4 linked regions of the Drosophila melanogaster genome follow. The gene in region 4 interacts genetically with the main gene of each other region. Each region holds a gene or a part of one and is shown on either strand. Other genes may lie near its edges.

Region 1 (5,181 bases), on a different chromosome or scaffold from region 4:
ACTTTGGGTGGGAGACTGCTTCATCTATACCAACTCGGTGAACCGCATCAACTACTACGTGGGCGGCGAGATTGTGACAGTATCCCACTTAGACCGCACAATGTATCTGCTGGGCTACGTGCCCAAGGACAATCGTATTTACCTCGGCGATAAGGAGTTGAACGTGATCAGTTTCTGTCTGCAGCTGTCCGTGCTGGAGTACCAGACGGCGGTTATGCGAAGAGACTTTGAGCGCGCAGACGTTGTGCTACCGACCATTCCCAAGGAGCACCGCACTAGGGTGGCACATTTTCTGGAGAAACAGGGCTTTAAGTCGCAGGCCCTGCAAGTCTCTACCGATGCCGACCATAAGTTTGACTTGGCCTTACAGATCGGAGATTTGGAAATCGCCTTAAAGCTGGCCCGTGAGTCGGAGAACTCCCAGAAGTGGTCACAGCTGGCAGATGTGGCGTCTAGCAAGAACAACATGTCTCTGGTTAAAGAGTGCATGCAGAAGGCAAACGACTTAAGCGGTCTATTGCTGCTCTCAACAGCTTCCGGCGATGCCCAGCTGCTCGAGGTGGTGGGTGCGGCTGGCTCGGCCCAGGGACATCACAATCTAGCTTTCCTCTCGGCGTTCCTTCGTTCAGACGTGGAACGCTGCTTGGAGATTCTCATTGAGACAAATCGGTTGCCAGAGGCAGCGTTCTTTGCCCGCACCTACCTGCCCAGCCAGATGTCAAGGATCGTAGAGCTTTGGCGGGAGAAGCTTGGAAAGGTCAACGAAAAGGCGGGACAGTCGCTGGCCGATCCGGCACAGTATACAAATCTCTTCCCTGGCCTGGGCGATGCGCTGCGGGTGGAGCAGCATTTGCAGGAGGAGCGAGCTCGTAAGGCGCCGGCACGCCTCGCTGCGAATCTACCACTGAATAGCGAACGTCATCCTCTGCAAGAACTATTTGCCGCCGAGCAGGGTGCCGCCGGCCAGCATTTGGAGGAGAAGGTGAAGCCAGCTTACGTTCCCGCTCAAGCTGTTGTTTCTAGCAGCCAGGTGGCCGAGCCTACATCCGCTGCGGATGACGACGACGACCTGGACTTGGAAATAGATGGAATTACGTTGGATGATAACATTGATACGACAGATGTGAACCTCGATGACGATTTTCTAAGCGACGATTAGGACGGAAGATCACAGCCAGATCTAGAATACCATTTAAACTATCGTTTACTGCTACGGGAGTCCCACATTTCGTGCATTTCGAGCCACAGAATTCCGCGCATGCATTCACATTTGATTTGATTGAATGTTGTTTAAATATATATCTATTAATAATATGTACAACAGTAATGGAGCAAACACTGCAATAAATACTTATACAACAATTTCAAATATGGCGCTCACTTCAACTATTTCGATTACATTCTGATATCTTATCGATAAAACTTTTAAACAAACTTACGATCATGCCAGGAGAAATTAAAAATTATTTTTGTTCTTTTTTTTTTTTGAGTTAAATTAGTATTCATGGTCTATTTTATTATATATTTGTACAAAAAAATGTTCTGTACCTGTTACATACATTTATTTCAACATATTTACTCTACGAGTAGGGGGTGTAATAAGTAGGCAATCCAAAAAAAGTCTGGCAACCACAAATATCAGTAAAATACATACAATTCGTGTGTGCGTCTGGATTTTGCTGTATTTTTTATTTAAGAATGAATTATTAACTAACCATTAATAAATTATTATTAAATAAAAAACAGTTAAAACCGCGATTCAAACGTGAGTACTCCCCGAATTTCGGCGAGAGTGTCAACTGGACTTTTCGCCCGCTATTCGTCGGTGATGTATCGATTTTTCAAACAACAATTACCCCGAAATTTTAAACAGATACACACCGAATCCTCCCGAAAACCGTGCAAAACAAGAACACCATGGACCAGGAGAATTTCCACGGCTCCAGCTTGCCGCAGCAGCTACAGAACCTCCACATCCAGCCGCAGCAGGCGTCCCCCAATCCTGTCCAGACGGGATTTGCTCCACGGCGGCACTATAATAACCTTGTCGGCCTGGGCAATGGAAATGCCGTCAGTGGTAGTCCGGTGAAGGGTGCTCCGCTGGGGCAGCGCCATGTGAAGCTCAAGAAGGAGAAGATATCCGCCCAGGTTGCGCAGCTGTCTCAGCCAGGTCAGCTGCAGCTGTCAGATGTTGGTGATCCTGCCTTGGCGGGCGGATCGGGCTTACAAGGTGGAGTCGGCCTTATGGGCGTAATATTGCCCAGCGACGAGGCCTTAAAGTTCGTCAGCGAAACGGACGCCAATGGACTGGCCATGAAGACGCCCGTCAGCATTCTGCAAGAGCTGCTAAGCCGACGAGGAATTACTCCCGGCTATGAACTTGTCCAGATCGAGGGCGCCATACATGAGCCGACCTTCCGGTTTCGCGTGTCCTTTAAAGACAAGGATACGCCCTTCACGGCCATGGGGGCAGGACGATCGAAGAAGGAGGCCAAGCATGCGGCGGCCCGTGCGCTCATCGACAAGCTGATCGGCGCGCAGCTGCCGGAATCGCCTAGCAGCTCCGCTGGTCCGTCGGTGACTGGGCTCACGGTCGCCGGAAGCGGAGGAGACGGCAATGCCAATGCCACAGGCGGAGGAGAGTGAGTTTTTATTCTATTGATGTCTAAGATATGATTCTAAGATATCCAATTTATTGTATTATGTCCTTGCAGTGCCAGCGACAAGACCGTTGGTAATCCGATTGGCTGGTTGCAGGAAATGTGCATGCAACGGCGATGGCCACCGCCGTCGTACGAAACGGAAACGGAAGTGGGTCTTCCCCACGAGCGGCTCTTTACGATCGCCTGCTCGATACTCAACTACCGCGAGATGGGCAAGGGCAAAAGCAAGAAGATAGCCAAGCGCTTGGCCGCCCACCGCATGTGGATGCGTCTGCAGGAGACTCCCATCGATTCGGGCAAAATCAGCGACAGCATCTGCGGCGAGTTGGAGGGCGAAGTGAGTATCATTCAAGACATCGATCGTTACGAGCAAGTCTCTAAAGATTTTGAGTTCATCAAGATCTAACCCACAAGCAATTTTCTAATATTTTTAGTGCAATTATTTTGAATGCAGTCCCATGCTTTAGTTTATAAAATTTTAAAAATTGATTTTATCAAATATATGTCATAAATGTTATATATTATTTAATACGTTTGTCCTCTATCCCTTCTCAAATGTAATGTAGAACGTTTAGAGTAATCCTCAGTTGTAAATATCCCTATAATCTTTTAAATTATGTATCTAGCTAGAGTTTTAGTACTATAGCATCCCTTTTATAGTGTGCTATCTGATATTTTTTATTGTCCTTGTTTTTATAACTAATGTTTTTGACATAATTATACATATAATTAACATAATGCTTACACCTTATTTATATTTCTGGTTTTATTTATGGTTTATATTGGCTTATTTCATTTTTCATTTTTCATATTGTTCCTTGGCATGGTGATTGTTTTAAAGAACGAATCTGTAAAGCACCTTTTCCACACAAAAGTGATATGTTTCAACTCACCATTGGCGTGTGTGATTTCAAATGTGTGCGAAATGCAATGGAGAAAAGAAACCAAAAACTTTGCGCTCTTATTTACAGCCCCGCAGTAGTGAAAATTATTATGGTGAATTGAAAGATATCTCTGTGCCGACACTGACCACGCAGCACAGTAACAAAGTATCCCAGTTCCATAAGACCCTAAAAAATGCAACGGGCAAAAAACTGCTTAAGTTACAGGTAAATTTCAATCCAATAACGCTTTTTATTCAAAAACGATCACAAACATATTTCCAACATTCAAAACCTGCTTTCGAAAGTACATATTTGCCTTAACCCCTCACAATCCTTATAATAATAGTGTTCTTGCTTGAAAGTTCAAAGTTTAATTTGACTCTGCTAATTCGACTCCATTTGTATTTTTTTCAGAAGACTTGCTTGAAGAACAACAAGATTGATTACATCAAGCTGCTGGGCGAAATCGCCACGGAGAACCAGTTCGAGGTGACCTATGTGGACATAGAGGAGAAGACCTTCTCTGGCCAGTTCCAGTGCCTGGTTCAACTGTCCACGCTGCCCGTTGGCGTTTGCCACGGCAGCGGACCAACAGCTGCCGATGCCCAGCGGCATGCCGCCCAGAATGCCCTCGAGTACTTGAAGATCATGACCAAGAAGTAGGGGGTGCAGCCAACTGAATAGCAAAATCTGAACGCACACCACGACCACGATCACGAGTATTTGATGAGAGCGATTACCGAGTGGATACGGGATAACTAATGCACCAGTCTAATTGCTTTTCTTTCCACTTTTTGGCTCAATGCAGTGGCGATGTTACATATATATATATATATATTTTGTTTCTTTTCCACCGATTCCTTTGATTAGGCAGTTGTATTTGTTAACTGCATATGTAAATGTTCATATATGTACTACACTTACCGATGAATGTATGTACGCTTGCAAATACAGACAAGCGTGTAATCGATATTGGAATCTTCTAGTCGCTTTCAAATTCTGAAAAACGTAAAACGGCAGATAAAACTAGGTTTAAGGTAGACTACGTGCTAGTTTGCGAAGGAAAAAGGCTTATGAATATAATCGGTATTTGGTAATCGCTACTTTTGCAGTTTTCTTTTCCTTGGGCTGAAAAACTTTGTAAACTCCGAATTAAAGGGCATTGATGAATTGAAATTAATCAATCCAACTTTAGAAATATTCTGTGAAAACATCTTTTATGATATGGAATTATTTAACTACAAATTAGTTAGGAAATAAATTGACAAATATAATACTGAAGTTATAGTAGCCGTGGCTTTATTTAAATAGGTAATTTTGTGCTTAATCTAAAGTAGTATTCTAAGTAATCATAAAGGATTGCATCTATTTCTTCTTTCTGTCCTGCGTACACTTGGGACAGAACCACTTGCCCTTTGGCTTTGTGGTGAGGCCAACACAAGCGAAGTGAAACCACTCGATGGGACACTAAAATGGTAGAGTGAAAGATCTAGAACTGACCACAGAGTACATCAAAATCGAATACTCACGTCGGGATTGTCGCAGCCAATCATCTCTCCATAGGACACCTGGTGGCATAGGCAATATGTGGGCTCATTGGGATCGACGGGCATGTCCATAACGTCGCTGGGATG
Region 2 (5,775 bases), about 10 Mb from region 4:
CTTTGGAGAAATTAAGGAGAAAACGAATTTCCTTTTTGACATCATAACATTGAGAAGCAATGTTGAGAGTGACCCAGATGAAGCTGAAAAGGACTACGAGGAAGTTGTGGAGGGTTTGAAAAACGTAGTTTGGTCCAATGTCAAGTTTGGTTCTGGTTAGTGCCCAGGATTTGAGTTGAGAAACCAATAATCCATTTCGTCCTATTGATTTGCAGATCACAAGGAGGAAATCAGTGCCGACGAGCTGGATAGTCAGCTGAAGGACTTTGAAAACTTACTCCTCACGGCGCAAAATCTACGTAACGATACGAGTCTCACTCGGGAACAATTTCTGGATCGGGCTGAGCAGTTTGCAGGCATAGTTTCCTCGATTTTAAATGACAATGATAGCGACTAACTGATACTCAGTTATCGTAGGCAAACTAATCGTACTGTTTGTTATCAATAATAAATGTTAAGCTGATTCCACTGTAATGTGCTATATCTGGTCCGTATTTTTGGTTTAGTTTTGAAGGTTTAAATACAAACAGGATTATGTTAAATATATTTGGTTTATTATTAAAAGCGGTACATATTTTTTGAAATAACAAGGTATAAAACGTTGTTTATTTGCTAATGTATGCTTGAGAGCTTATGTATATTAAGGAATGAATAAATAAAGTGTGTGTTTGCTGTTAGCTTTCAATCATAAACTTAAAGATTCCGTTGTGGGCGATGAACAAATAATATTTTTATGGTTTCGCATTCTTCTGCAAGAATAAATGGGAATGATTAATTTAAGTTAATTAAGTTAAGTGATTCGATTTTGAAACTCACCTCCTCAGAGAAATCCAAATCCTCTTTAATTGCCTTCGATCGTCGCTTTTCGTTTGACGTTAGCAATTGTGAGAGCTTCGTTTGTTTAGCTAGATCGTAGGCTTCTTTTTTACTCCGCATTGCACAGTCTTCCAGGGTTTCGGCCGCTTCAAACATGCCTTGACGTCGGTAAAGTGCTCCCAGATTTTTTAGAGTGGTTGTGACCGTGGGCGAATCCACTTTAGCGGCCTTATGCCAACCGCCGTACTCGCCATATGGAGTGTTCTCCCTGTTATCGAATTTGTGCTCCTCACGCTCCTCAGCCACCTGAAAATTGTAGTAAGAAAAGGAACTTTTGAGTATTTACCAGGCATAACAGCACAACAACACAACATTACCTGCCAAATGGGCTTGTTTTTGCTGTCGATGGCTCCAAACTCACGTTCGTGGGCTCGCGTCAAGACCTGCTTATAGAGGATTTCAGCTTCGGTGTATCTACCTTGCTTCAGATAGCAGCCGGCCAGATTATTCTTTGTCTTGGCCACGTTGGGATCATCGGGACCCAACTTTGATTCGTAGATGTCGAGAGCTCGCTGGTAGTACTTCTCAACCTCGTCGTATTTGCCCTGATTCTGGCAGAGCAGGGCGAGATTGTTAAGTTGCTTGGCAACATCGGGATGATCCTTTCCCAGGACTTTCTCTCGGATCTCCAAGGCACGCTTGCACAGTGGCTCGGCATCTTTGTACTTGCCACGTTTGCCATAGAGGACGGCCAAGTTGTTCAACGTGGCCGCCACGGCTGGATGGTTCTCGCCCAGTGTCTTTCCTCGAATCGACAGAGCGTCGTTGAGTAAATTGGCGGCCTCCTTATACTTGTTCTGTATGGCACGAGATGTTGTTAATTAACGATTGTATAAATTAAGTTAATCAAAGCGTAGACGCACCTGATCGCGGTACACGAGAGCCAAAATGTTCAGCATGGTTGCTACATCGGGATGGTCGTGACCACTTGTCCTTTCGAGATCTTCCAATGCTTGCTTGCAGAGGGGAACGGCTACCTCGTATCTAGAAATATATTAGGCTATTATAGTTAATGATGAATTGATAGATAACGATGTTGTAGGTAAGGGGTTTCTTTAGTGCTCACGAGTAAAATAAAATGCATGGATGATGACTTACCTTCCCTGCGATGCATACTGAATGACCAGGTTGTGCAGAGTACGGAGACGCGCTGGAATCTCGTAGCCGGAAGTCTGGTTGGCGAACTGGCTGGGCGGAGTGGGCGACATGTTGTGTCTGTCCTCGTTTTCCTCGTCCGGGAATAGCTCGACCACGGGATCGGTGCGGGACTTGTCGCAAGCGTCGTCCTGCTCCTGATTCTCGTCGTACTTCTTCACGGACGCCATGAACTCCAGGTGCTTCTTCTCCTCCTCTAGTTGGGCCACCAGCTGCTCGGATGCCTGGAACTTTTGCTGAGTGTTGGCCAGCTCGTCGCGAAGCCAGGCGTTCTCCTGGTGGAGGCGGCGCACCTGTGTCTTAAGCTTGTGCTTCTCGGCCTCGATGTTCTGCAGATGGGATGTCAGGGCCATCATCACCTGGGCCTCGCTGAGGCCCAGTTCGATGTTCTCGATGTTCTTTCGCAGCATGTCCGACTTTTCATTGTCCTTCTGCACCTCGGCGATTCCGTTCATAATCGAAACATGCTCCACTCGCAAGGCTTCGAGGCCTTGAAGGACTGTTTTCGTATTGGTTATGATTTCGTCCTGCGACATTTGCGTCATTTTGCCGATTTTCTCAATTTTCTGTCTACAAAACACATACAAAATACAGATTAGTAAGTGCTCCTACAACCCTCTGACATCTGAAAGTGTAACAACATGAATGATATCAAAATTAAAAGGTGTTAATCGAGGTATTTGATGTGTTTTACATCCTGTATGATTTGATAGCTTTGGAGACAATCATTTTAACCGTATATTAAACGATTCTAGCTGCGTTAATCAATACGATGAAAAAGAAAATTCGCAGTGCGCATGCACGTTAAAAAAGGTGGTTGATAATCGAAAATGCCCGCGCTATTACATTCGCTGTAACAATAACTTTTAGAAACTACAGAAACTATTAAAAGTAAGGGATCAACTTTCTGGATTAAGTTAACTTCAATTTACTTTTAAGCCAAACAAATTCCAGTTCATTCAATTATGTTTTCTAATTGGAAACTAATGGTGGAAGCATATTCGATTTATATCGAATACTGTGCTTTGAAAACTTTCTTTTATTTATTATTTATCAACATTGCCGGTGTGATTTACATAAACATGACACTTCGTTAAAAAGTGTTTAAGGCCATTTAGTTCGTTTATTATGGTTATAATTATGGGCGAAAGTTAATTACACTTGGCGTCATGCAATAAACAAAAAACGAATGGCAAAAGTAGCTGCTTACATCAACTAAAATAAATTGTATAGTTTTTTAGAGACCGAAGCTATTAGTACCCTAACATATTCAAAATTATAGTTTTCTTTAGTCATTTGCCTTTCGAATCGGAAATCTAGATTGCGTAAAATGAGATTGTAAGTTGATTTTCGAGAAAATAGCTTTATTCTTAATCAAGATCGCCAAATATTGTGATTGGAATAGTCAGATTATAAATATTGCAAATGGGGTTACAACACCCCAGCTCACTAATTCCAGTGTATTAAAAAGTGAGTCACTTTTTGTACATAATATCTATGAACACTTAAACATAAAAGTTAGTGGCATTAAGAGATTGTATTTAGTATTTATCATGCTAAACGATTACTTAGGCCTTAGGCCTCCATTTGTGTTTACTTTGCCACACGAGCTGCCGCCGAGCACTTTTCCAACTAGACTTGATTATTTATGTAAAACGAATCATATTTTCCAGTAAAAAACTTTTCTTCAAGTGGCAGTCACTTATATTTATGTGCAACATATGTACATACACAGATAAGCTCAAGTAGATGTGTTTGTGTGTGGGTGAATGGATTTTGTCGTTCGAAATCCAGTTGGAAATGATTATGCAAGTTATCGCGCAGTGCATTCAAATATTGTAACTTATTACCAGCGGTTTTGCTCTGCAAACTCCTCAAATAAGCGAAATAGTGCGTAGATTTGCTATAAAAATATCTTACACTGCAAAACTTCTAAAATAAAACTGAGTGTGACCGTAGCCGGGGCGTTGAATTGTGTTTGACAAGCTAGGATTTTCTTCAACTGTGCAGTAGTGGTCACACTGTCGGGAGGAGAACGCAGTGGAATCGAAACACTAACTAAAGAAATGAAAATTCCTGAAAAAATCGGGTAGACTAACAATAAGACTTCGTATAATAGCTAAGATGTAGTATAAATAAAGTAGTAGTTAAAAGTAATAATGCGCAACATGCTATTTGTAAGCATCTATAACATGTTGGAGGTCAACAAACGCACATACCTTGGTGGAGCAGGTATTGATTTAGTTCAATAAAAAATTTAATTTTTGGAACTAATTAAAGGTGTATCTTGAAATTTGTACACATAATATATAAATTAATTTGTTGTTAACTTAATGGATTTGAAAACATCGTTATTATATTAGCAAGCTGGCATATTTTTGTATTCACGATACGGTCGCACTATTCTTTTTGTAATAAATTTTGCAAGACTTTTTCAAGTCTCCGTTTTTGTTCTATATTTTAATTTTTACCGTCTAAAACTGAACAAAAGAGTATGCCACCCCCAAGACCGAAGGGGATAGGATTTAATACAGGAGCTACCCAACCCAGATCGAACTCAAACACGCCAATGTCGGAGAGGCAGCAAATGGCTCTGCTCATCCAAATGACAGCCAACTCGTCGACAGGTAAATAAGCAAAATAATTAAGTGAATGTCTACTTTTCACATGATTCAAGTGGATTTTATAGTTCAGTCACAAAGCTTAGAACTTTTGCTCGTCGGCTTGAATTTCAATTTACATCGTGGGTACTTCGCTGCGTACATACTTACACGCATATACATCTATGCATGTACATATCTACGTATGTACATACATAAATGTATCTGAGAGTCAGGAATAATGTAAAAGTATCCGAGAAACTGGTTTCGATTGCGGATAAATTGTCATTTAACTGATTCAAATGAAGATACCAATTATTATTGAAGAAATATGTGTAAAGATGTCAAAAAAACCCTGTCTCTTATCCGAGCTAATACTTTAGAAACCAAAATTAAAAACAACTCATTTAACGATGCTTAAGTTCTTAGTTTTCACACAAAATCATTTTAGTTGGTTTTCCTTCAAACATAACTACAAATTCCACCCGAAAAGATATCCGATAGACAATAAGCTTTCATTTTACTTCCTACATGATCTTCCAAACTAAATCACACAGCCGTCAAATGTAATGTATAAGATTCTCGTTCTTGCAGATTCATCCCGCACCACCTTAAAGAAGAATGAATGCAAGAAAGGAGACGCAGAGACTGACGAGGGCAGCCTGAATGAGAAGCAAGAGGTCCTGGACACGAAAGACAAATCTTCAGCGGAGGAGAGCAGCAACGATGGTAAATCCAGCGATACGAATCATCAGGGAACTTCGGCTGCCAAGCGCTGCTACTCAGACATAGAGGAGGACTACGAGGAATCTGGCGAGGACGTAAAGAAAAAGAAGCGCAAGGATTCGGAGCATGGAAAGGACGTGAAGGGGGCCTCCCTGAAGCTCACATCGCGCGTGGAGAAAAGCTCCAAGCTAGCTGCAACGAAGGGATCCCCGTCAGGAAACAAAAGCAGCGCTTCCAATGCCGAAAAGGAGCCGGCGGAGACTAGTAAGAATGTAGATATTGAGAACGAAACGGAGTGCAGCGATGATTACAAGAGTAACGACAGCCTATACAACGGAGGACTCAAAGTGCCGCCATTAAAAATTGTGATTCCGCAGCAGAACTGCTCAATCGACACTGAGGGCAATGTGCTTCGAAC
Region 3 (7,685 bases), on a different chromosome or scaffold from region 4:
ACATTAGATGCGGTCGGTATAAGCTGGCTGCGGCAATTCTGAAGATCTTCTATAGAATCATCACCCATATGCCCATAGAACTGCAACTCCTCCGGAGAACCTCCGGCTGTGATGAGAGTATATATTTTGGTATCCATTGCTCCAACGGCCAGCAGTTGGTTGGCTTGCTGCCTGGAATTGTGATTATAAATAATTAGGTGTTTGCAGCGAAGAGCTCGAAGCGCCGACAAGTCACTGGTCAAAATCAAGCCAATCATTGGTTCTCCATCGGCAAGAGAATTAAATAAGTTCACTTTTTGGGGACCATCTAGCTGCGCATGGTCCAAACTATAACTCTGACAGTATCCCCTGACCAGGGTGAGGCAATCCTCACTGTTTGCCAAGATGCAGCACTTCTCGCCTCGCTCCGCCACTAAGTGATCCAGCATTACGTGTAGAAACTCGAACTTGGCGGAGTCGTAAAGTCCCATGCTTGGCCAAGGCGGCAGTATGGCGTCCAGTACCTCCATTATTTCCTTAAACACTGGATTCGTACCCAAAGTTTTTAGGAGCACAGGATGATCACATACAATTTGGAAGATTTCCTTCAACGTAGACGATTCCTGAAATACAAGTTTTTTGATTTGTTTATGCATGTAAATTGGTCTAAATCTATCTTACTGTTTTAGATGTTTGTGCATATTCAGAAACAAAGAGTAATATTTTTTTCTGCAGTTCAGCTGGAGTTAATAGACACAGATATTCCGATTGGGTGAACTCCTTGGTAGGGTTTTCTATCTTCAAAGTGTTTTGTTCATAGATTTTCTTTCCCATCGAAGTGCTGGAATCGGCGGCTGCATAGGAGACATGTTTATCTTCTCTATGTTGGCTAATTTCCAAATGCGGTGGAGCAAAGGCATCTGCCTCGCGCTTGATCTTCTTGAGCAGATGAGACCTAACGGGTGCACTGTCAGCAGGTGGTGGCGATGTGTCTGTACAACCATTCTGGGCATCTATTTTTTGGCACCAGTTGGCTATTTCCAACTGGCGCTGAATAAGGCACTCCTCGACGGTTTTAATCTCCTCCTGAATCTCGACATCCTTGCTGCCTACTTCCAGCTGATCGTTCTCCTGAAGTTGCCGCTGCTTAAAGTATGTCATGGTGTCCACAACCTTGCCGGTGTCATCCTTCAATGTTACTATGGATCCCGTGACCACCAGCGTTCCGTTGCCAGTCCACGTTTTGTGCTTTTTGGTGGTCTGATTACGCCAGAGCACATGGAAGATGCGGCTATCTTTGAGGGGATTCTCGCCCGCCCTGAATTCTCGAGGTCCCAGGCTTTGGGTGCCCCCTGAGGTGCCCCATTCGCTGGGTAGATTGTTTTTGGGCCAGGAGCAGGGTGACTGTGGTTCCTCTTTGGGAGGCGCCGCTTCGCTCTCTCGCTTTGCAGCGCGGCGCATGGAAGGAGCTTTGGAACGCCGCTTTATGGTGCTAAAGAAGAGGATTACCGGGTATAGTTCACCGTAAATACATAAGTTAATTTAAAAACTTTTGCTATCAACAAAATATAAATATACAAGGCGCAATCTATTTTCAAGCCACTTGTAAGTGTGGCCAATGAAGTGAACCTCGAAAGGTATTCCGAACCCTGGTCACACTGGCATTCTGCTGGTAGCCGGCTCTGGATGATTTTCTGATAGAAATCTCGCAGAGGCAGTGGTGTTTTTGTGAATCCCCTCAGCCACGATGGCGTTCCACTGGTGCGACAACAATCTGCACACCACCGTGTTCACGCCGCGCGACTTTCAGGTGGAGCTACTGGCCACCGCCTACGAGCGGAACACGATTATTTGCCTGGGCCATCGAAGTTCCAAGGAGTTTATAGCCCTCAAGCTGCTCCAGGAGCTGTCGCGTCGAGCACGCCGACATGGTCGTGTCAGTGTCTATCTCAGTTGCGAGGTTGGCACCAGCACGGAACCATGCTCCATCTACACGATGCTCACCCACTTGACTGACCTGCGGGTGTGGCAGGAGCAGCCGGATATGCAAATTCCCTTTGATCATTGCTGGACGGACTATCACGTTTCCATCCTACGGCCAGAGGGATTTCTTTATCTGCTCGAAACTCGCGAGCTGCTGCTGAGCAGCGTCGAACTGATCGTGCTGGAAGATTGTCATGACAGCGCCGTTTATCAGAGGATAAGGCCTCTGTTCGAGAATCACATTATGCCAGCGCCACCGGCGGACAGGCCACGGATTCTCGGACTCGCTGGACCGCTGCACAGCGCCGGATGTGAGCTGCAGCAACTGAGCGCCATGCTGGCCACCCTGGAGCAGAGTGTGCTTTGCCAGATCGAGACGGCCAGTGATATTGTCACCGTGTTGCGTTACTGTTCCCGACCGCACGAATACATCGTACAGTGCGCCCCCTTCGAGATGGACGAACTGTCCCTGGTGCTTGCCGATGTGCTCAACACACACAAGTCCTTTTTATTGGACCACCGCTACGATCCCTACGAAATCTACGGCACAGACCAGTTTATGGACGAACTGAAAGACATACCCGATCCCAAGGTGGACCCCCTGAACGTCATCAACTCACTACTGGTCGTGCTGCACGAGATGGGTCCTTGGTGCACGCAGCGGGCTGCACATCACTTTTACCAATGCAATGAGAAGTTAAAGGTGAAGACGCCGCACGAACGTCACTACTTGCTGTACTGCCTAGTGAGCACGGCCCTTATCCAACTGTACTCCCTCTGCGAACACGCATTCCATCGACATTTAGGAAGTGGCAGCGATTCACGCCAGACCATCGAACGCTATTCCAGCCCCAAGGTGCGACGTCTGTTGCAGACACTGAGGTGCTTCAAGCCGGAAGAGGTGCACACCCAAGCGGACGGACTGCGCAGAATGCGGCATCAGGTGGATCAGGCGGACTTCAATCGGTTATCTCATACGCTGGAAAGCAAGTGCCGAATGGTGGATCAAATGGACCAACCGCCGACGGAGACACGAGCCCTGGTGGCCACTCTTGAGCAGATTCTGCACACGACAGAGGACAGGCAGACGAACAGAAGCGCCGCTCGGGTGACTCCTACTCCTACTCCCGCTCATGCGAAGCCGAAACCTAGCTCTGGTGCCAACACTGCACAACCACGAACTCGTAGACGTGTGTACACCAGGCGCCACCACCGGGATCACAATGATGGCAGCGACACGCTCTGCGCACTGATTTACTGCAACCAGAACCACACGGCTCGCGTGCTCTTTGAGCTTCTAGCGGAGATTAGCAGACGTGATCCCGATCTCAAGTTCCTACGCTGCCAGTACACCACGGACCGGGTGGCAGATCCCACCACGGAGCCCAAAGAGGCTGAGTTGGAGCACCGGCGGCAGGAAGAGGTGCTAAAGCGCTTCCGCATGCATGACTGCAATGTCCTGATCGGTACTTCGGTGCTGGAAGAGGGCATCGATGTGCCCAAGTGCAATTTGGTTGTGCGCTGGGATCCGCCAACCACATATCGCAGTTACGTTCAGTGCAAAGGTCGAGCCCGTGCTGCTCCAGCCTATCATGTCATTCTCGTCGCTCCGAGTTATAAAAGCCCAACTGTGGGGTCAGTGCAGCTGACCGATCGGAGTCATCGGTATATTTGCGCGACTGGTGATACTACAGAGGCGGACAGCGACTCTGATGATTCAGCGATGCCAAACTCGTCCGGCTCGGATCCCTATACTTTTGGCACGGCACGCGGAACCGTGAAGATCCTCAACCCCGAAGTGTTCAGTAAACAACCACCGACAGCGTGCGACATTAAGCTGCAGGAGATCCAGGACGAATTGCCAGCCGCAGCGCAGCTGGATACGAGCAACTCCAGCGACGAAGCCGTCAGCATGAGTAACACGTCTCCAAGCGAGAGCAGTACAGAACAAAAATCCAGACGCTTCCAGTGCGAGCTGAGCTCTTTAACGGAGCCAGAAGACACAAGTGATACTACAGCCGAAATCGATACTGCTCATAGTTTAGCCAGCACCACGAAGGACTTGGTGCATCAAATGGCACAGTATCGCGAAATCGAGCAGATGCTGCTATCCAAGTGCGCCAACACAGAGCCGCCGGAGCAGGAGCAGAGTGAGGCGGAACGTTTTAGTGCCTGCCTGGCCGCATACCGACCCAAGCCGCACCTGCTAACAGGCGCCTCCGTGGATCTGGGTTCTGCTATAGCTTTGGTCAACAAGTACTGCGCCCGACTGCCAAGCGACACGTTCACCAAGTTGACGGCGTTGTGGCGCTGCACCCGAAACGAAAGGGCTGGAGTGACCCTGTTTCAGTACACACTCCGTCTGCCCATCAACTCGCCATTGAAGCATGACATTGTGGTAAGTACTTGTAATACGAATTATTTAAGATTTGTTAAATACTCTTCTTTAGGGTCTTCCGATGCCAACTCAAACATTGGCCCGCCGACTGGCTGCCTTGCAGGCTTGCGTGGAACTGCACAGGATCGGTGAGTTAGACGATCAGTTGCAGCCTATCGGCAAGGAGGGATTTCGTGCCCTGGAGCCGGACTGGGAGTGCTTTGAACTGGAGCCAGAGGACGAACAGATTGTGCAGCTAAGCGATGAACCACGTCCGGGAACAACGAAGCGTCGTCAGTACTATTACAAACGCATTGCATCCGAATTTTGCGATTGCCGTCCCGTTGCCGGAGCGCCATGCTATTTGTACTTTATCCAACTGACGCTCCAATGTCCGATTCCCGAAGAGCAAAACACGCGGGGACGCAAGATTTATCCGCCCGAAGATGCGCAGCAGGGATTCGGCATTCTAACCACCAAACGGATACCCAAGCTGAGTGCTTTCTCGATATTCACGCGTTCCGGTGAGGTGAAGGTTTCCCTGGAGTTAGCTAAGGAACGCGTGATTCTAACTAGCGAACAAATAGTCTGCATCAACGGATTTTTAAACTACACGTTCACCAATGTACTGCGTTTGCAAAAGTTTCTGATGCTCTTCGATCCGGACTCCACGGAAAATTGTGTATTCATTGTGCCCACCGTGAAGGCACCAGCTGGCGGCAAGCACATCGACTGGCAGTTTCTGGAGCTGATCCAAGCGAATGGAAATACAATGCCACGGGCAGTGCCCGATGAGGAGCGCCAGGCGCAGCCGTTTGATCCGCAACGCTTCCAGGATGCCGTCGTTATGCCGTGGTATCGCAACCAGGATCAACCGCAGTATTTCTATGTGGCGGAGATATGTCCACATCTATCCCCACTCAGCTGCTTCCCTGGTGACAACTACCGCACGTTCAAGCACTACTACCTCGTCAAGTATGGTCTGACCATACAGAATACCTCGCAGCCGCTATTGGACGTGGATCACACCAGTGCGCGGTTAAACTTCCTCACGCCACGATACGTTAATCGCAAGGGCGTTGCTCTGCCCACTAGTTCGGAGGAGACAAAGCGGGCAAAGCGCGAGAATCTCGAACAGAAGCAGATCCTTGTGCCAGAGCTCTGCACTGTGCATCCATTCCCCGCCTCCTTGTGGCGAACTGCCGTGTGCCTGCCCTGCATCCTGTACCGCATAAATGGTCTTCTATTGGCCGACGATATTCGGAAACAGGTTTCTGCGGATCTGGGGCTGGGAAGGCAACAGATCGAAGATGAGGATTTCGAGTGGCCCATGCTGGACTTTGGGTGGAGTCTATCGGAGGTGCTCAAGAAATCGCGGGAGTCCAAACAAAAGGAGTCCCTTAAGGATGATACTATTAATGGCAAAGACTTAGCTGATGTTGAAAAGAAACCGACTAGCGAGGAGACCCAACTAGATAAGGATTCAAAAGACGATAAGGTTGAGAAAAGTGCTATTGAACTAATCATTGAGGGAGAGGAGAAGCTGCAAGAGGCTGATGACTTCATTGAGATAGGCACTTGGTCAAACGATATGGCCGACGATATAGCTAGTTTTAACCAAGAAGACGACGACGAGGATGACGCCTTCCATCTCCCAGTTTTACCGGCAAACGTTAAGTTCTGTAAGTTATTTAAATCCCTTGCTAAGGATCAGAAATAATCCCTAATACATCTTACAGGTGATCAGCAAACGCGCTACGGTTCGCCCACATTTTGGGATGTGAGCAATGGCGAAAGCGGCTTCAAGGGTCCAAAGAGCAGTCAGAATAAGCAGGGTGGCAAGGGCAAAGCAAAGGGTCCGGCAAAGCCCACATTTAACTATTATGACTCGGACAATTCGCTGGGTTCCAGCTACGATGACGACGATAACGCAGGTCCGCTCAATTACATGCATCACAACTACAGTTCGGATGACGACGATGTGGCAGATGATATCGATGCGGGACGCATTGCGTTCACCTCCAAGAATGAAGCGGAGACTATTGAAACCGCACAGGAAGTGGAAAAGCGCCAGAAGCAGCTGTCCATCATCCAGGCGACCAATGCTAACGAGCGGCAGTATCAGCAGACAAAGAACCTGCTCATTGGATTCAATTTTAAGCATGAGGACCAGAAGGAACCTGCCACTATAAGATATGAAGAATCCATAGCTAAGCTCAAAACGGAAATAGAATCCGGCGGCATGTTGGTGCCGCACGACCAGCAGTTGGTTCTAAAAAGAAGTGATGCCGCTGAGGCTCAGGTTGCAAAGGTATCGATGATGGAGCTATTGAAGCAGCTGCTGCCGTATGTAAATGAAGATGTGCTGGCCAAAAAGCTGGGTGATAGGCGCGAGCTTCTGCTGTCGGATTTGGTAGAGCTAAATGCAGATTGGGTAGCGCGACATGAGCAGGAGACCTACAATGTAATGGGATGCGGAGATAGTTTTGACAACTATAACGATCATCATCGGCTGAACTTGGATGAAAAGCAACTGAAACTGCAATACGAACGAATTGAAATTGAGCCACCTACTTCCACGAAGGCCATAACCTCAGCCATATTACCAGCTGGCTTCAGTTTCGATCGACAACCGGATCTAGTGGGCCATCCAGGACCCAGTCCCAGCATCATTTTGCAAGCCCTCACAATGTCCAATGCTAACGATGGCATCAATCTGGAGCGACTGGAGACAATTGGAGATTCCTTTCTAAAGTATGCCATTACCACCTACTTGTACATCACCTACGAGAATGTGCACGAGGGAAAACTAAGTCACCTGCGCTCCAAGCAGGTTGCCAATCTCAATCTCTATCGTCTGGGCAGACGTAAGAGACTGGGTGAATATATGATAGCCACTAAATTCGAGCCGCACGACAATTGGCTGCCACCCTGCTACTACGTGCCAAAGGAGCTAGAGAAGGCGCTCATCGAGGCGAAGATCCCCACTCACCATTGGAAGCTGGCCGATCTGCTAGACATTAAGAACCTAAGCAGTGTGCAAATCTGCGAGATGGTTCGCGAAAAAGCCGATGCCCTGGGCTTGGAGCAGAATGGGGGTGCCCAAAATGGACAACTTGACGACTCCAATGATAGCTGCAATGATTTTAGCTGTTTTATTCCCTACAACCTTGTTTCGCAACACAGCATTCCGGATAAGTCTATTGCCGATTGCGTCGAAGCCCTCATTGGAGCCTATCTCATTGAGTGCGGACCCCGAGGGGCTTTACTCTTTATGGCCTGGCTGGGCGTGAGAGTGCTCCCTATCACAAGGCAGTTGGACGGGGGTAACCAGGAGCAACGAATA
Region 4 (4,264 bases):
AGTTGCTATCTAGAACTATAATTATTAGTTTTGTAATTTAAAACATAAATTTAACAAAATGAGAAAATACATATTTAAAAATATATTTTGTAAAAATAATACAAACATACATAGTTAAAAGTTAATATTTATAAAATAAATAAAAATATGCGACCTTTCTATTGTAAAATGTGCACAGATGCACTTGTCGGTTGTCACTGGATGCGTAAAAACAGCTGATGGCTGTAGAGTTCTCCGCCCTCTTGCTCCTAAACAAAAATTAAGAGCAGAATACTTTATATCCACCTTCTACTTCCTGAATTCTAGACATTTCTTACTGAGAGACAGGCGGCCCAAGAGATCTTAATCTTAATTGCTTGTACCTTTTGAAAGAATCTAGTATAACTTTTACTGGACGAATTCTAGACTATTAAAAATGTGATGATATATCAACACATTTATTAAAAGTGCGATCGTGACAGTTTTATGCGGCTTGTGAGCGCTAGAGTGGGCTTGGCAAAATGGGTTAACAAACTTGCGCTGCATCTTTGTCTCTAAAATCTGTATGCTTAATCTTAACCTTCTACCTTTAATAGTTCCTGAGATCTCGGCGTTCATACGGACAGAAGGACACAGCCAGATCGACTCGGCTATTGATGCTGATCATGAATATATACATATAGTGACGTATTCGGGTGGTCCAAACCGGCCACTTCAATTAAAACAGTATTGCACTTAATTGATTTTCCATAATGTATCCCAGCTGCGCAGCATCCGTTTCTAATAAAGAATTCTTTGGCAGCGGCACTCAGCCGTTCTTGTAAACATCCTAAAACCTGACATAAGCCGATTTGACTGCTCTCTTTGAACCTTCTCCTTATCTTAAGAACCCAAGAGCGAGGCTCTCCCGAGATACAAATATTGTTCAAATAATGAGGGTTCTCTCAATTCAATTTGCATTTGATTTTTACTCTTAAAAAAACTAAAACGTTAAAACTATTTCTCCGATCATTTTTTATTTCTTAGCGTTGTCCTTAGTCAACTGACGGGGCATTTATTCGACTCAAATAAAAAATATAACAACTAATTTTACTATATATATGTATATATTTTACTGTATATCGGAAACGCTTCCTTCTGTCTTTTACATATGTACATTTCAACGAATCTAGTATACCCTTTTACTCTACGGTTAACGGGTATAATAAGTTCTTTCTAAATGATTATGCTTATCATTTTAACAACAACATTTTAACCAAAAACGGTGTGATGACCAAACCATTTTCATATTCAGCATGAATTTACCGATTCAGACAAATCGTTCATACATACAAACAATATTATTACTTTACCATTAAACAAACCATTTCCAAGAAAGAATTTTTCATAGACCTAAAGCACATCGACTTTGTGGGTGGATATACATACATATGTACAATTTTTCGACTCAACTGTTTACACTGTAGTTTTACGAAAGAGAATTTCGATTTAAAAAATTTTTAGTTTTCGATGGTCGACCATTTGATTTATAAATAAGCAGTATTATCTTTAATTAGGCTGCTTTTAACTGCAAGTGCAGTTTATTCATACGATTACAAAGCATGACGATAGATGATTATGCTATTAGGTTTGATTAAACCATTTTTATGAAATATAAATTATTATATTATAAATATAAATTAATTATAAATTTACAAACTCTTATTCCATTCCAGAATCGATAGTTCTGGAATGATACTAGTGCTCAGCAACGCCAAAACAGTCAATAATAGATATTTGAAGTGTCAGCGGAATCGACGTCTGACAAAACAACTGCTTCACTTCATTAGAATTGTGTGATATATTCCACAGACCAGATCATTGGAAGAGAAGTCAATCGTGCGTGAGAGAAGCCAGAAGAGAAGCCACCCGCGACATTCCGAAGTAACCATTTCTGTAGGGTCAGACGTACATACAAACAACATTCATATAAATTGCTCGTGCTGTTCATTGGTTACCGCCTTTAGTCGCTACCTCGCTCGCACACGCGCTCAACACCTACCCTTACCCGTCAAAAATACCGACCTTCTTCTTGCCACGCCCGTAAAGATGGCTCCTAAGAAGCATAGTGGGTTTATGATGTTCGTAAACGAGTGGAGAAACCGGAACGCCGAGGGCCGACGCATGACGCTGGCGCAGGCTGTTTCCCACTGCGGCACCATATGGGAGGTAAGTTTTGGTCGATGCTGCGGATCTACCCTGTAATAAATGAAGCCTTTTCAGAAAATGAACACCCAGCAGCGTGGTCCGTACAACTCAGGCGGCAAGGACGCAAATGTGGCGCAACGCGCCAAAAGGGAAAGTTCCAACGGCCACGGCCAGGTGGACAAGGCCCAAAGGGAGGCCACCGAGAGCTTGATGGACATGAAACGTACCATCGAGCGCCTCGTGCTAAACGCCAAGATGTCCCATGGTAAGTCACACATTTCGAAGACATTTGGATTCGACTAACTCCAATCGCTGCCGCAGATCTGGAGAATGCCAAGTTTGTCTTCGTTGCCTTCAACTACTTCACTAAAGCCTTGACCACCGACGTCTATGTGCCCGCCGAGTTTGCGGCATGCGAATATTCGTTGAAGGAGGGAATCCGATCCATCTACAGCACCATGATTGACCCCGGTCAGATCATTTTTGGGCAAGGTAGCGATGCCCTGCTTCACTCTTCAACCACTCACGACCTGCCGCTGCCGCCCAACGCGCTGGGGGAGAAGAACATGACCAAGCTGTACCGCAACATTGTTGACTACTTATCCAAATGCCAGGGAAAAGGCAAGACCCTAGTAGTCTTTACACCCGCCGAAAATATTACCATGGTGAAGTCATGCTTCCGCTATTTGGAGTGCGATGATGACTTCAGGGACGGGGGCGAAAAAATCCAGGTGTTTGATATCCAGTACTTGCTATTCATATTGAAGAAGGAGGTCATGAATGTCGCTGATTTGAATGACGAGAAAATCAACAAATTCGCGACGGATGCTTTTTTTAAGAAAGACTTTTTCGAGTTTACCGCAGGGATTGCGTGTCAGGTAAGATTCTGTTCCCAATTCTGATAACCCCTAGTTGACTTCCTTCCTGATTACTTTTGCAGTACCACGAGGATAATGATCGAACCAAGTACTGTACCCAGAGTATGGTGACTAGATGGGCGTATACCTTCACTGATTTTATGTGCGGAGACCTGGCCATAACCGTCCAACCCGGAAAGCACATACCTGCCCAAACAAAACCCAACTACCTTATCATAAGCTCGTACGCCTCCTCACTCGACCACGAGTCCTCCTTCGACTCTTTTTATTCGCTTCCCGGATCTGGGGTCAAGAAGGAAAGCCAACCCGAAGCTTGTTCGCTTTCTAGCAGTCGACTTTCCGTCGCATCAAGCTCCTACAAGCCCATAGACCACACTTCCTTTGCCGCAAATTTAAACGAAGTTTCTGAATTCCCCAGCCTCGGCATGCGTAATTCTAGTAAGCATCACGGTATCGCCGCTAGTGCTCAGCGGGAATGGAACGCTAGGAACTTACCGACGCACTCGCGTTTAATTCGGAAGGTTTCAGACAACGACTTCTCCGTAAACGGCGCTGATGGGAAACTTAAAAAATAAGCCACTTTGGTCTATCAATTGGACTAAGAAACAATGATTCCTTATAGATAATTTTCTTATCGCATTAAACTGTACAAATACTATTACTTGTATTTAAAAATAAATTCGTTCAAACGGACAGGGCCAGCATCAAGTATTTATTTATTTTAGTTCTGCTAAATAAATATTTTTAAGACCTAATATGTGGGCAGTAATGAAAGAAAGACATGATATTTTTGATGGCGACAAATTCTAATTAGCTAAGTGGGGCCAAGCTCAAAATAATCTATGTTTATGGTATTCCATGGAAATGCAGTTGTGCCATTAGAAACTGCTCCTATTAAAACCCCTGTTAAATATTGTGCATAAAATTGTTCAACGGGTCATTATAATACAAAGTGCAAAGGCCAAAAAGAGTCGAGTTCATATTCTTACACTTGTAGCTTTTTAAGTGGCTCGACTTGGAGAGGAGTTTTTAGAGTTGCGAGATACAGATGCAATGCTTTGCGGATCTTGCTGAAGCACGAGACGAGTAAAGGCTAAGCTGAGGAGAAGTGCCTGGCCTAGAAGCTCGCGCTGGTAGCGCTCTTGTTGTGAGAATTCGAGGCGTAGGTCAGCGGGAAAGTCGATCTGTTTGTGCAGCTTCAACGGGGGCTCTGTTTCGGG

The links.
Region 1: of mael (region 4) and loqs, changing one suppresses a phenotype caused by changing the other (phenotypic suppression), as found in Drosophila melanogaster (one study listed by BioGRID).
Region 2: of mael (region 4) and Klc, changing one enhances a phenotype caused by changing the other (phenotypic enhancement), as found in Drosophila melanogaster (one study listed by BioGRID).
Region 3: of mael (region 4) and Dcr-1, changing one suppresses a phenotype caused by changing the other (phenotypic suppression), as found in Drosophila melanogaster (one study listed by BioGRID).

The regions. Positions count from the first base shown.
Region 1 is NT_033779.5:13,381,023-13,386,203, forward strand, and holds loqs (loquacious), read left to right. Parts: upstream 1-1,629; 5' UTR 1,630-1,765; intron 1,766-1,873; 5' UTR 1,874-1,917; coding exon 1,918-2,642; intron 2,643-2,714; coding exon 2,715-3,000; coding exon of another isoform or gene 3,001-3,069; exon of another isoform or gene 3,070-3,143; intron 3,144-3,504; coding exon of another isoform or gene 3,505-3,634; coding exon 3,635-3,772; intron 3,773-3,799; exon of another isoform or gene 3,800-3,961; coding exon 3,962-4,210; 3' UTR 4,211-4,649; downstream 4,650-5,181. Other genes in the region: beta'COP (coat protein (coatomer) beta'), read left to right, coding at 1-1,159; Ing5 (inhibitor of growth family member 5), read right to left, coding at 4,913-5,014, 5,077-5,181.
Region 2 is NT_037436.4:12,746,082-12,751,856, forward strand, and holds Klc (kinesin light chain), read right to left. Parts: upstream 3,976-5,775; 5' UTR 3,882-3,975; intron 3,759-3,881; exon of another isoform or gene 3,629-3,758; intron 2,818-3,628; exon of another isoform or gene 2,726-2,817; intron 2,602-2,725; 5' UTR 2,577-2,601; coding exon 1,975-2,576; intron 1,861-1,974; coding exon 1,740-1,860; intron 1,674-1,739; coding exon 1,194-1,673; intron 1,123-1,193; coding exon 817-1,122; intron 750-816; coding exon 732-749; 3' UTR 535-731; downstream 1-534. Other genes in the region: CG32109 (uncharacterized protein), read left to right, coding at 1-155, 216-397; CG10984 (uncharacterized protein), read left to right, coding at 4,526-4,658, 4,721-4,774, 5,226-5,775. UniProt on the Drosophila melanogaster protein: Kinesin is a microtubule-associated force-producing protein that may play a role in organelle transport. The light chain may function in coupling of cargo to the heavy chain or in the modulation of its ATPase activity.
Region 3 is NT_033777.3:22,735,072-22,742,756, reverse strand, and holds the start of Dcr-1 (Dicer-1), read left to right. Parts: upstream 1-1,665; 5' UTR 1,666-1,726; coding exon 1,727-4,360; intron 4,361-4,412; coding exon 4,413-6,021; intron 6,022-6,078; coding exon 6,079-7,685. Other genes in the region: CG6985 (uncharacterized protein), read right to left, coding at 3-602, 661-1,440. UniProt on the Drosophila melanogaster protein: Endoribonuclease which functions in microRNA- (miRNA) gene silencing and, independently of its ribonuclease III activity, also acts in the short interfering RNA- (siRNA) gene silencing pathway.
Region 4 is NT_037436.4:22,722,499-22,726,762, forward strand, and holds mael (maelstrom), read left to right. Parts: upstream 1-1,734; 5' UTR 1,735-2,067; coding exon 2,068-2,187; intron 2,188-2,232; coding exon 2,233-2,431; intron 2,432-2,487; coding exon 2,488-3,044; intron 3,045-3,106; coding exon 3,107-3,619; 3' UTR 3,620-3,736; downstream 3,737-4,264. Other genes in the region: CG14450 (uncharacterized protein), read right to left, coding at 4,046-4,264. UniProt on the Drosophila melanogaster protein: Involved both in the piRNA and miRNA metabolic processes. As a component of the meiotic nuage, plays a central role during oogenesis by repressing transposable elements and preventing their mobilization, which is essential for the germline integrity.